Arabidopsis thaliana: one gene and its partners. The protein of the gene in region 1 interacts with the protein of each later gene in a biochemical or structural test. Each region holds a gene or a part of one and is shown on either strand. Other genes may lie near its edges. The genes, in order: DET1, LHY and CUL4.

The links.
Region 2: the proteins of DET1 (region 1) and LHY form a complex in vitro, tested with the Arabidopsis thaliana proteins (one study listed by BioGRID).
Region 3: the proteins of DET1 (region 1) and CUL4 form a complex in vitro, tested with the Arabidopsis thaliana proteins (one study listed by BioGRID).

Annotation. Positions count from the first base shown.
Region 1 is NC_003075.7:6,344,379-6,348,132, forward strand, and holds the start of DET1 (light-mediated development protein 1 / deetiolated1 (DET1)), read left to right. Parts: upstream 1-2,032; 5' UTR 2,033-2,164; coding exon 2,165-2,236; intron 2,237-2,317; coding exon 2,318-2,980; intron 2,981-3,054; coding exon 3,055-3,246; intron 3,247-3,544; coding exon 3,545-3,613; intron 3,614-3,708; coding exon 3,709-3,754. Other genes in the region: AT4G10170 (SNARE-like superfamily protein), read left to right, coding at 209-973. UniProt on the Arabidopsis thaliana protein: Component of light signal transduction machinery. Involved in repression of photomorphogenesis in darkness by participating in the CDD complex, a complex probably required to regulate the activity of ubiquitin conjugating enzymes (E2s).
Region 2 is NC_003070.9:36,052-39,805, reverse strand, and holds the start of LHY (Homeodomain-like superfamily protein), read left to right. Parts: upstream 1-2,048; 5' UTR 2,049-2,237; exon of another isoform or gene 2,238-2,407; 5' UTR 2,408-2,433; exon of another isoform or gene 2,434-2,602; 5' UTR 2,603-2,744; coding exon 2,745-2,783; intron 2,784-2,884; coding exon 2,885-2,996; intron 2,997-3,120; coding exon 3,121-3,182; intron 3,183-3,634; coding exon of another isoform or gene 3,635-3,716; intron 3,717-3,754. Other genes in the region: UMAMIT28 (nodulin MtN21 /EamA-like transporter family protein), read left to right, coding at 1-397, 519-670, 752-908. UniProt on the Arabidopsis thaliana protein: Transcription factor involved in the circadian clock. Binds to the promoter region of APRR1/TOC1 and TCP21/CHE to repress their transcription. Represses both CCA1 and itself.
Region 3 is NC_003076.8:18,734,671-18,738,424, reverse strand, and holds the start of CUL4 (cullin4), read left to right. Parts: upstream 1-1,609; 5' UTR 1,610-1,771; coding exon 1,772-2,018; intron 2,019-2,498; coding exon 2,499-2,614; intron 2,615-2,699; coding exon 2,700-3,046; intron 3,047-3,323; coding exon 3,324-3,504; intron 3,505-3,594; coding exon 3,595-3,717; intron 3,718-3,754. UniProt on the Arabidopsis thaliana protein: Component of the CUL4-RBX1-CDD (COP10-DDB1a-DET1) E3 ubiquitin-protein ligase complex which mediates the ubiquitination and subsequent proteasomal degradation of target proteins. Participates in the CDD complex to light-mediated control of development.

The DNA of each region.
Region 1 (3,754 bases):
ACCCTAGAGAGAAGAAGAAGAGGAATGAGAGAATTCATCCTCGATTTTGAAGACATCGCCGAAGGATTTTGTTGGTACTTTCTTCTTCTCTTTGACTTTCTCTCTGACTCCATCATCTCAATTTCTCTCTTCTTCTTTGCTCTAATCACAGACTTCTCTTCTTTCCTCTTCTGTCTCAATTTGATTTCTTAAAAAAACAAAAAAAAAGATGGGTTTAATCAAGAACACAGTTCATTACTGTTGTGTCTCAAGAGACAATCAGATTCTTTACTCTTACAACGGTGGAGACCAAACCAACGAGAGTCTTGCTGCTCTGTGTTTAGAAAAGTCTCCTCCTTTTCATACTTGGTACTTTGAAACTATTGGTAAAAGAAGATTTGGGTTTTTAATTGGAGATGGGTTTGTTTATTTCGCCATTGTTGATGAGGTTTTGAAGAGATCTAGTGTTCTTAAGTTTCTTGAACATTTGAGAGATGAATTTAAGAAAGCTGCTAGGGAGAATTCTAGAGGAAGTTTTACTGCTATGATTGGTTCTATTAATGTTGAAGATCAGCTTGTTCCTGTTGTTACTAGACTTATAGCTTCTCTTGAACGTGTTGCTGAGAGTAGTAGTAACAATGAATTGAAGAGTAGTAATCTTGGTGAACAAAGCGAAGGTTCGAATTCTACTAAAGCTCCGTTGTTGGGGAGGTTAAGTAAGCAAGAGAAGAAGAAAGGGAAAGATCATGTGATTGAGCTTGAGGAACACAGGAAGTCTAATGATAGAGGGAACATAACCGATGATTCAGCGGGAGCTGGAACGTCGTTGGAGAAGGAGTGTGTGTCGAGTAGTGGACGTTCTGTTACTCAAAGCTTTGAATGGAAATGGCGGCGGTTAGTTCAGATTGTTCTTGCTATTGATGCAGCTATTTGCTTGACACTGTTTGGTATTTGGTTGGCTATATGTCGGGGTATCGAGTGTACACGTTCGTGATTGTGCAGACAGAAAATCGGATAAACAGAGTCGATTCTTTACATTCCCTTGTGCATTCCAATAGGCAAAAAATATGTTGATTGTAATGTGAAGCATTCTTAAGTTATAATTTGGCTTATGTATTGCTTTAGTCACAGCTTTGAAATATGTACAGTCGGATTCTAGATTCTGTTCAGTGTTCTTTGTGACTTCACGATACAGTAACGTCCATCTTTATATGATTTAAATTGTTTGAGCTTCAACTTCAAACTCAATCCTCTTTCAAGTTCCCTAAGTAAGGCCCTCACTAGCAAAGAAGCTGGCTTTGAGATGCATAAGGCTTTACCAACAAGTGTATTGATTGTATGATTCGTTCCAACAAGTGTATTGCCACTGCAGTTCTTGTTGTTACCGATCAACAAAATGGGAAGTAAAAAATGGTAGGTAGATAGGAACCGATCCGAAAAAAGTTCCGAAACCGAACTGAACAGTCACAAAATCCGAACGGATAATGAATTCACCTACCCAAATTACTTCAGCCGAATCCGATTCCGAATCAAAAACCGAATAAATATCCGCTAATCCGAAATAAAATTATATCTATCTAAAAATATTAGTTACAGGTTTATACCCAAAAATTTCTAAATAACAAAAATATTAGTTACAGGTTTATACGTCCGAATTTTTAAGTTATATTTGTTACAATTATACAATTTTTTTTGCAAAATTAAACCAATTTTATTAAAACGGAACAATATATATTTTTTTTTCTCAAAAACCGATCCGAATCCGACACTATCCGAACCGAAACCAAACCGAATAGTCATAAAACCCGACCGGATAATAAACTTTCCCATCTGAATCCGAAAATCCGAACCGAATCCGATCCAAAATCCGATCCAAAATGTGAATGTCCATACTTAAGCTCCGACTAAGCAAAGCAATACAACAAGAGAAATTGTACAAAGAGGAAGTAGTACCGATAAGTGCCAATGACCCAATTTTGCAACTATTGGGCCATTTTCAAACACCAATATCAGGCCCATTAACAGATTGAGAGAAACCAACCTCCCAAAAGAGAAAAATCAACAGAACCAAAACAAAGCCACAGTATCTCTCTCTCTCTCTCTCTCACTCACATCGTCTCCTCCATTTTCACCACTAAAACCAGACCAAAAACCTTCCTTTATTCGTGCCCTTCTGGGCCAACAAATGTTCACAAGCGGTAACGTCACCGCTCGGGTCTTCGAACGTCAGATTCGAACTCCTCCTCCCGGCGCTTCCGTCAGTCCCCAAATCTCTCTCTCTGTCTCAATCTCTCAATCTCAATCTCTCTTTTGCTTATCTCTTTACCTTCAATGATAGGTAAATCGTGCAAGACACTTCTACGAAAACCTAGTCCCAAGCTACACACTCTACGATGTCGAATCTCCCGATCACTGTTTCCGCAAATTCACAGAAGACGGACTCTTCCTCATTAGTTTCAGCCGTAACCATCAAGAACTCATAGTCTATCGTCCTTCTTGGCTCACTTACTCCACAACCGATGATTCCACAACCACCCTACCTCCTCTACCTCGCCGTGCTTCGAAATTCGACAGCTTTTTCACTCAACTCTACTCAGTCAATCTCGCTTCTTCTAACGAACTCATCTGCAAAGACTTCTTCCTCTATCACCAAACTCGTCGTTTCGGTCTTTTCGCTACTTCAACAGCTCAGATCCATGATTCATCATCTCCTTCTAATGACGCTGTTCCTGGTGTTCCTTCCATTGATAAGATTACTTTCGTACTTCTTCGATTAGATGATGGTGTTGTTCTTGATGAGAGGGTTTTTCTTCATGATTTCGTTAATCTGGCTCATAATATGGGTGTGTTTCTTTATGATGATCTTTTAGCGATTTTGTCGTTGCGTTATCAGAGGATTCATCTTCTTCAGATTAGAGATTCTGGTCATCTTGTTGATGCTCGTGCTATTGGTTACTTTTGTCGTGAAGATGATGAGCTTTTCCTCAATTCTAGCTCTCAGGTAAGCAAAGTTTTTACAGTATCTTTCTCTGGAGTAGATAAAGTTTTGAGCTTTGTGAGGTTTTTGATTGTTAGGCAATGATGAGTCAAGATAAGAGTAAACAGCAGAGTTTATCTGGGAGTAAGGAAGATGATACTGGAGAGAATGGGTTGCGTCATAGTCTAAGTCAGCCAAGTGGTTCGAATTCGTTTCTTAGTGGTGTTAAGCAACGGTTACTTTCTTTTATCTTCAGGGAGATTTGGAATGAAGAATCAGATAACGTAATGGTTCGTTGTTCTTCAACTTCTCTTATCACTTTATGAAATTGCTCTGAGTTTCACAATCTTGTACATTAAATGGGTTATGTTTGTGTACTGCTTGGCTTCCTCTGTTAGATGTTGAGTAGGATAACAGAAGTTTAAGGTTTAGGATTGATGCAGTTGACAGTGACTTCTTAGTTGATGCAGCTTATCATATACATGCTCTTTGCATTTTCGACCTTTCGTTGTAGTTTGCAATGTGTGTCGTATTGAAACACTACATCTTGGATACGAACTAATCGAAAGGCACTATTTGATTTGACAGAGAGTTCAAAGTCTTAAGAAGAAGTTTTATTTCCATTTCCAGGATTATGTCGACTTGATTATATGGAAGGTAATCAATTATGTGTTTCTGCTTTTGGAATCTGTGTCAAGTGTTTGGATTTGATGGTGAAAAAAACTAATCTTTTGTGTATTCTTGATGTCCAGGTTCAGTTTTTGGATCGACAACACCTGCTAATCAAATTTGGAAGTG
Region 2 (3,754 bases), on another chromosome or scaffold:
TGTGAAGATTCTAAAGACCAAAGCAGGAATGTTGAAGGTGATTGGAACTTTGATCTGTATAAGTGGAGCTTTGTTCTTAACATTTTACAAAGGCCCACAAATATCAAACTCTCACTCTCACTCTCACGGTGGGGCTTCCCACAACAACAACGATCAAGACAAGGCCAATAATTGGCTTCTTGGATGTCTTTATTTAACCATAGGAACAGTGTTGCTATCTCTATGGATGTTGTTTCAAGGGACTTTAAGTATTAAGTACCCTTGCAAATACTCGAGCACTTGTCTTATGTCAATTTTCGCGGCATTTCAATGTGCTCTCTTGAGCCTTTACAAGAGCAGAGACGTTAATGATTGGATCATAGATGATAGATTCGTTATCACCGTCATCATATACGCTGTAAGTTACAAACATCATATCTTTATAAATTAACTTTTTAAAAATTATAAGATTAGTATGTAAGAACTTAAGATATTAATGTGGGTTTTTTTATGTGGTTTTTTTTTATCATATATTATAGGGAGTGGTAGGACAAGCAATGACGACGGTTGCAACAACATGGGGGATTAAAAAATTAGGAGCTGTGTTCGCATCGGCGTTTTTCCCACTTACTCTCATTTCGGCTACTCTATTTGATTTCCTCATTTTACACACTCCTTTATACCTTGGAAGGTATCTTCTTCGATAATCTCTATCAAATTAATTTTGTCTAGGCATAACACTAATTACAACATTAAAACTTTTGGTCTACAGTGTGATTGGATCACTAGTGACCATAACGGGTCTCTACATGTTCTTGTGGGGGAAGAACAAAGAAACGGAATCATCAACTGCATTGTCTTCAGGAATGGATAACGAAGCTCAATATACTACTCCTAATAAGGATAACGACTCTAAGTCGCCCGTTTAATTTAATTATATTGTTGTTAATGTATGTTTCAAATAACTGTTATGTCCTAGTTAATGTTTAAGGAGAGGTAATGAGAGATAAAATTTTATAATTCCAAACATCAACGTAGAGATTTGTGAAATATTTAAATCCGGTTTGTTTGGTTATTTTGGAATAATTTCGGTTATTTCAATTAGATTCGGGTAGTTCAGTTCTTCGGTTAGTAACAAAAACTGGTCTATTGTTTTTTGGTTAACCTAGAACCGAACCGAACTAACCAAAGTTCTCGGTAACCTTTTGTAGTGGCTTCCTGACCGATGAGGCCGTCAACTTCAAAAAATATTGCAACTAAGCTCTGCTCCAACATTAGAGTATCTATAACTATGTTAAACGCTTCTGCTTTAAGCAAAACACAGTTGTAAGCTGGAATCTAAAAAAATGAGTGTAATGATGTTTGCTGAATTCCATAAATAAATACTACATGCTTCGGTTAAGACTTAAGAGTAATTAATGTTCCTTAATTTCTACAAATGTTATATAAGCAAGTTGACCAAAGTTCTCGATGATAATTTGTTGAAATTTTGTATAGGCATTGCATGATATTATATGAAAAGATGAAGATTTTTATACAGACGCAAGTTCCCCGAGCAGTCCAAGCTTGTCGGGTTTAATTCAACTATGTTAATACGCAAATTTATATAGAATAGGCGTAAAAGTGAGGCCCATACAATGTCTTATTACAAGCCCAGATCCAGCATAGCCAATACGTAGCAGTACACCATCACAGCTGGCACCGTACCCACTTGTTTAGTCGTCCAAGTTTGTACCAATAATCGTTTACACGTAAGCAATTGTGGACCACCACACTCACTTTTACCTACGTGAGCTTCACATTGAAGCTTCTGGCTCGTAGAGAAGCAACTTGAGATATACCAAAAAGTGCAGTAGACAGCCACTACAATATCACCACGTGTCGATCTGCGATGACTTCTGTTTTTTCCATTTATACCCTTGGTGCTGTTCCAGCCTCAAATAAACTTTTCAATTAAAATTTTTCCAAAAATTAGGGGAAAAATTGTTGTGGCTGAGATTGCTTCTGGCTTCTCTTCTTCTTCTTCCAGTCTTCTTCAGCCTAAAACAGTCTTCCTTCTTCTTCTTCTTCTTCTTCTTCTTCTTCTTCTTCAGTTATCTTCTTCCTTCTTCTCTCTGTTTTTTAAATTTATTTTTAGAGATTTTTTTTTGTTTTGCTTCCGATTTGATTATTTCCGGGAACGATGACTTCTCCGGGGAGTTCCCGGTGAGATGATAAGTCAGATTGCATACTTGTCTCCTCCATGGCTACTCTCAAGGGTATAACAGTTTACATTATGAGCAGTTTCTAGGATTCCTATAACATACTAAGATCTCTGTTTGGCTGCTGAGAAACTTATAGAAGCGATTAACTAAATCTTATTAGCTCTAAAAGTTAGCATAAATGATACGAATCTGGTGATTGATTACTGATATGAAGATTTGTGAAGGTTTTGGCTGCGGTGGATTCGTTTGGGTGAGGCTTTTGTGAATAATAATAAAGGGAATTCTTTTGAGTTCTGCTGGAGAAGCAGCGACTGTTTCACGGTGGACTTTGAAAAGATTTCTCTTTTGAATTTCGCTCATCACTCTTATCTTAGTGTTTGTGGATAAATATTTCTCATAAAGTACTTTCTCCTTTGCAGTTTCTCTAGAATCTAAAGAGGTTATCACAACGGCTTTGCAATTTGAAAACTTTCATGTTTGGGGAGATCAAAGATGGTTTCTTTTTTATACTTTACTTGTTAGAGAGGATTTGAAGCAGCGAATAGCTGCACCGGTCCTGTTATGGATACTAATACATCTGGAGAAGAATTATTAGCTAAGGTACTACTACTAATGAAATAAGATTGGTGTTTTTTTGTTTGAGAGATTTGGACTGTTGTTGTGTGAAGATTTGATTTTCTTTTGGGTTTTCAAATGTTTAGGCAAGAAAGCCATATACAATAACAAAGCAGCGAGAGCGATGGACTGAGGATGAGCATGAGAGGTTTCTAGAAGCCTTGAGGCTTTATGGAAGAGCTTGGCAACGAATTGAAGGTCGAAAGTTTATCTTTTGAATGTTTAGTTTGAACTCTTTGAGATTTTATATTCCTTTGTTTAGGAGTGTCTTTATCTCCTCTTGATTGGGAGATTCCTTCTTTTCTTTTCATTTTGTGTGCAGAACATATTGGGACAAAGACTGCTGTTCAGATCAGAAGTCATGCACAAAAGTTCTTCACAAAGGTAAGTTGATGATCCTTTCAGATCTTTTTAAAACACTTTCGTTATCTTGTGTAAAGGTACCATTTTTTCATATCGATCTATGACTATGTTTAGAAGTTGCCTGTCACTGTCTGGAAAAGATGATAGAAGGTTCTTCTTATTCTTCCTTTTCTCTAATTGCTTCAACTAGAAATTAGGCGTCTAAGTAGAGTGTGTTTTGCTAAGTAGAGTTGGTTGGTTCCGAGGATTGCATCTCGATCGTTTTTTATCTTTTTCATTTACTCTGTTCAACTAAACTTAACATTAGATTGGTCTGTCCAAACTTACTGTTAGAAAAAACTCTACAGAGAGCTTTCTTCTCTGAGACCATAAGATAGGTCCAAATTAACATAACTAGCGTTGCATTTGGATGACACAATTGTCCCATATTCACTAAAGTCGATGAAATAATGGGATTGCATGAATTCTTTTAGCCATCCATATGGAAACCAAACCTCCTTGCCCTATAGGACAGGACATGAAGTAACTCTATCATCTCTACCCCGAAAAATTCGGGTCAGTATAAGACTTTTTTCAACCTTGGTGATGTGGTC
Region 3 (3,754 bases), on another chromosome or scaffold:
TAAAATTGTTCAATTGTTTGTTTTATGTCAAGCTTACAATTTTTCAATAACTCCTCATTTTCACATGTTTGCATGTGAAAATATTGATCCAACGATCCAAGAGACTTACAATTTGCTATTATTAGTATCAATTGGGATTAATTGAGAAATTCTATAGTCTTGAAACATGAATAAAGAAAAAATAAATGTGTTGACATGTTAATGAGGGATTAAAGAAATAAAAAAAAATTATTAGTAAGTTTAAGCGAGGTGAGAATGTAATGAACACCATTTTGTATTAGTAATTATACAATTCCATAGGCTAATCAACATGTAATAAAAAGTTTTAAGACCATGCAGTCGTTGAGGCTGTGGCTGTAATAATATTCATCCTTGCAATTGCGACTTAAAAACCAGCCATGTTTTTTGGCCCAAGAACCCTCACTAATCAAAACACATTCGCACAACAGCACAAGTTATATGAGTTCGCCAATTGGTACGTCTCGGTAACACTTGTAAGACCATCTCCATCGGAATATCTGATTGAGATACTCATCAATTAAATAATAATTAAAAAGAGAAAAAGTATGAGAGAAGAAGAGAAAAGTGGAGAAACTGGCAAGAGAGACTATTCTCAGCATTTATTGAGAGTTGTCATTCAATTAATAGTTCATTTACTTCAAACTAATTAAAATATATTAATTTGATTAAAATATTAATTTATTTACTTTTTGAGATACTCTCTACCACTTTTGCCGATGGAGATGCTCTAACAATCTCATCTCGTCTCTTATCTGCTTGATAGGCTTCGGTTAAACCTTTGTAATCAGGCCCAAAGTATTAACTCCTGTAAATAATTTGATAAGCCCATATTTTGTAATCAGAACCAAACCCTAAACCGGAAGTCCAAAAACCCTGTGGAGCAGCAAGTCAACACGCCCCACATTGGCTAATCCATGACATCGATCATATTATATTTATTCATATTGTCAAGTGATGATTCTTCGTTCATGTCTTTTAACATCACACAATTTTCTGCCTGAAATTACCGACTGCTAAAAGTATTTAATCATCTCTATTTTTATCTCCATTCTCCACGTTATAGGTGAGTCTATTTTATAGGCATTTTATTCTAATATATTCTTTTAAAATAGTTTTTTTTAAAAAATAAAAGAAATATATGGAAAAAAAATCAACTCAATTTTCTTTAAAATAAAAATAAAAATATATATCAAAAATGATCTAAATATCAAGCATCGACTCGTGTGATCGATTCTTTATTCTTTAAATCGTAAAATGACTTAATAAAAATTCGACTCTAAAAATATACAATAGATATGATTTATCAGTTGTCAAAAACTAAAAATAAAAAGTAGTTAAAATTTAAAAGTAGTTATAAAAAATAACCATACAAAACAGGCAACAATTGATTATTATTTTTTATTTTTTTGTTTTTCACTTTTGTGATTAGTAACCATTAAAACAACGCACATCTAATCATTGCGGTATATGTCTATTTTTATCAATAATATTTTTTTTATCATATAGTAATTATGATTTATGAATGTATAAATAAAATAATTCTGATTTTATTCAGAGTATATAAATAAACAAAAAATCTTCATTTCTCGGGTCGGGTCTAAATCGCGAGTTTTCGCGTAGGTTTGAGCAAAAAAAAAAAGAGAGAGAGTGCACAGTGCGCTTTTGGTAGAGAGAAAGGGTTGTTATTATTTAGGATTGATGTCTTCTTCTTCCTCTTCGTGATTCTCTCACACAATTTTCACCCATTTTCATGTCTCTTCCTACCAAACGCTCTACTTTCTCCGCCGCTTCTGCCTCCGACGACTCTTCTTACTCTTCTCCTCCGATGAAAAAGGCCAAAAACGACCTCCACCATTCCCCTCAACACCCTAATACCGCCGACAAGGTTGTTGGCTTTCATATGGAGGAAGATCCAACTCCCGCCGCCGCTAATCTCTCTCGGAAGAAAGCTACACTTCCGCAACCTACTAAGAAGTTTGTAATCAAGCTCAATAAAGGTTTCGCTCGATTTCGATTTCTTTCATCTTTACGATTTTGATCGTAATCTTAGGATTTGATTTGGGTCTTTTACTCTACTGTGCAATTGATGCTCTGGATTGATTTGAAATGATACAATTGTTAAGGTTCGTGATTTTTAGGGTTTTCATTGGCTTGCGATTGATGGAAGTTTTGTGTGAGTTTTGATGTTAAATTACAGTGGAAAATTGAGTGTGACTGTTGAATTTTGATGTGAATGAGTGATTTGGGTTTTTGTATTTCTTCTAAGTTGGAATCTCTTTGTCTAGCCTGATCTAGGTACTTAAGATCCGGAATCTTTGTTGTGCACAATCTAGTTGGCTTAGCTCTCACCAAACCTAATTTGTGCCATTAGAAAACATCTTGAGAATCATCTTTACTGTGACTGGCTAGCAAATTGAAGATAAAAGTGTTTTCATAATTAGGGTTCTGATTGTACCATTTGTATTATATATGTGAAGCCAAACCAACTCTACCAACAAACTTTGAGGAGAATACATGGGAGAAGTTGCAGTCAGCTATCAGAGCTATATTCCTCAAAAAAAAAATTTCGTTTGACCTCGAGAGCCTTTACCAGGTTAGGTTACGTGCAAATTTACTTACTTCCTTTCTTATTCGTATGTGTAAATGTCGTGCTGATGAGATTGTGATTGTTTTTTCAGGCTGTTGATAACCTTTGCTTGCATAAGTTGGATGGAAAGCTTTATGACCAGATTGAGAAGGAGTGTGAAGAACACATCTCTGCAGCTTTGCAATCTTTAGTTGGGCAGAACACTGATCTGACTGTTTTCTTGTCACGTGTTGAGAAATGCTGGCAAGACTTTTGTGACCAGATGCTCATGATTCGTAGTATAGCCTTGACTCTGGATAGGAAGTATGTGATACAGAATCCAAATGTACGTTCATTATGGGAGATGGGTTTGCAGCTTTTCCGGAAGCATCTTTCTCTGGCCCCTGAAGTTGAGCAGAGGACGGTTAAAGGTCTCTTAAGTATGATTGAAAAAGAAAGGTAAATTTTTAACCTTCTGGTCTTCCAAAATTAAACGAGGGTTGATTTATCACATTGAGAATATAATTTCATAAAGCCACTTTACCTCAACTTATTTTTCTGGCTTTTGAGTGAATATGGTAAGTTTGGATGGTCTATGAACTATTCCTGTCTAGCAGTGATAACTTGTTATAGGTAAAATTTCAAGGCAAATCAGGACTAGTGTATGTCATTTATATATTGGATAATGTTTTCATCTGAATCTGCTGAACTTTCTTGCATGATATTGGTCCTGCAGGTTAGCAGAAGCTGTTAATAGGACTCTACTAAGCCATCTTTTGAAGATGTTTACTGCACTGGGAATTTATATGGAAAGCTTTGAGAAACCTTTCCTTGAAGGGACCTCTGAATTTTATGCCGCTGAAGGAATGAAATACATGCAGCAGTCTGACGTTCCGGAGTACCTGAAGCATGTTGAGGTGCCTTGCATGACTTCATATAGTTTCCTTATGATTAGCTGCACTACAGGTTAATAGTCTTTCTAAGGTTTCTACTGGTGATTGGTGCAGGGAAGGTTGCATGAAGAGAATGAGAGATGCATACTCTACATAGATGCAGTAACCAGGAAACCATTGATCACAACTGTTGAAAGGCAACTTCTCGAACGTCATATACTTGTTGTTCTTGAAAAGGTTCCAATCTCCTATTATTCTTGTGTTGGCTTGCATA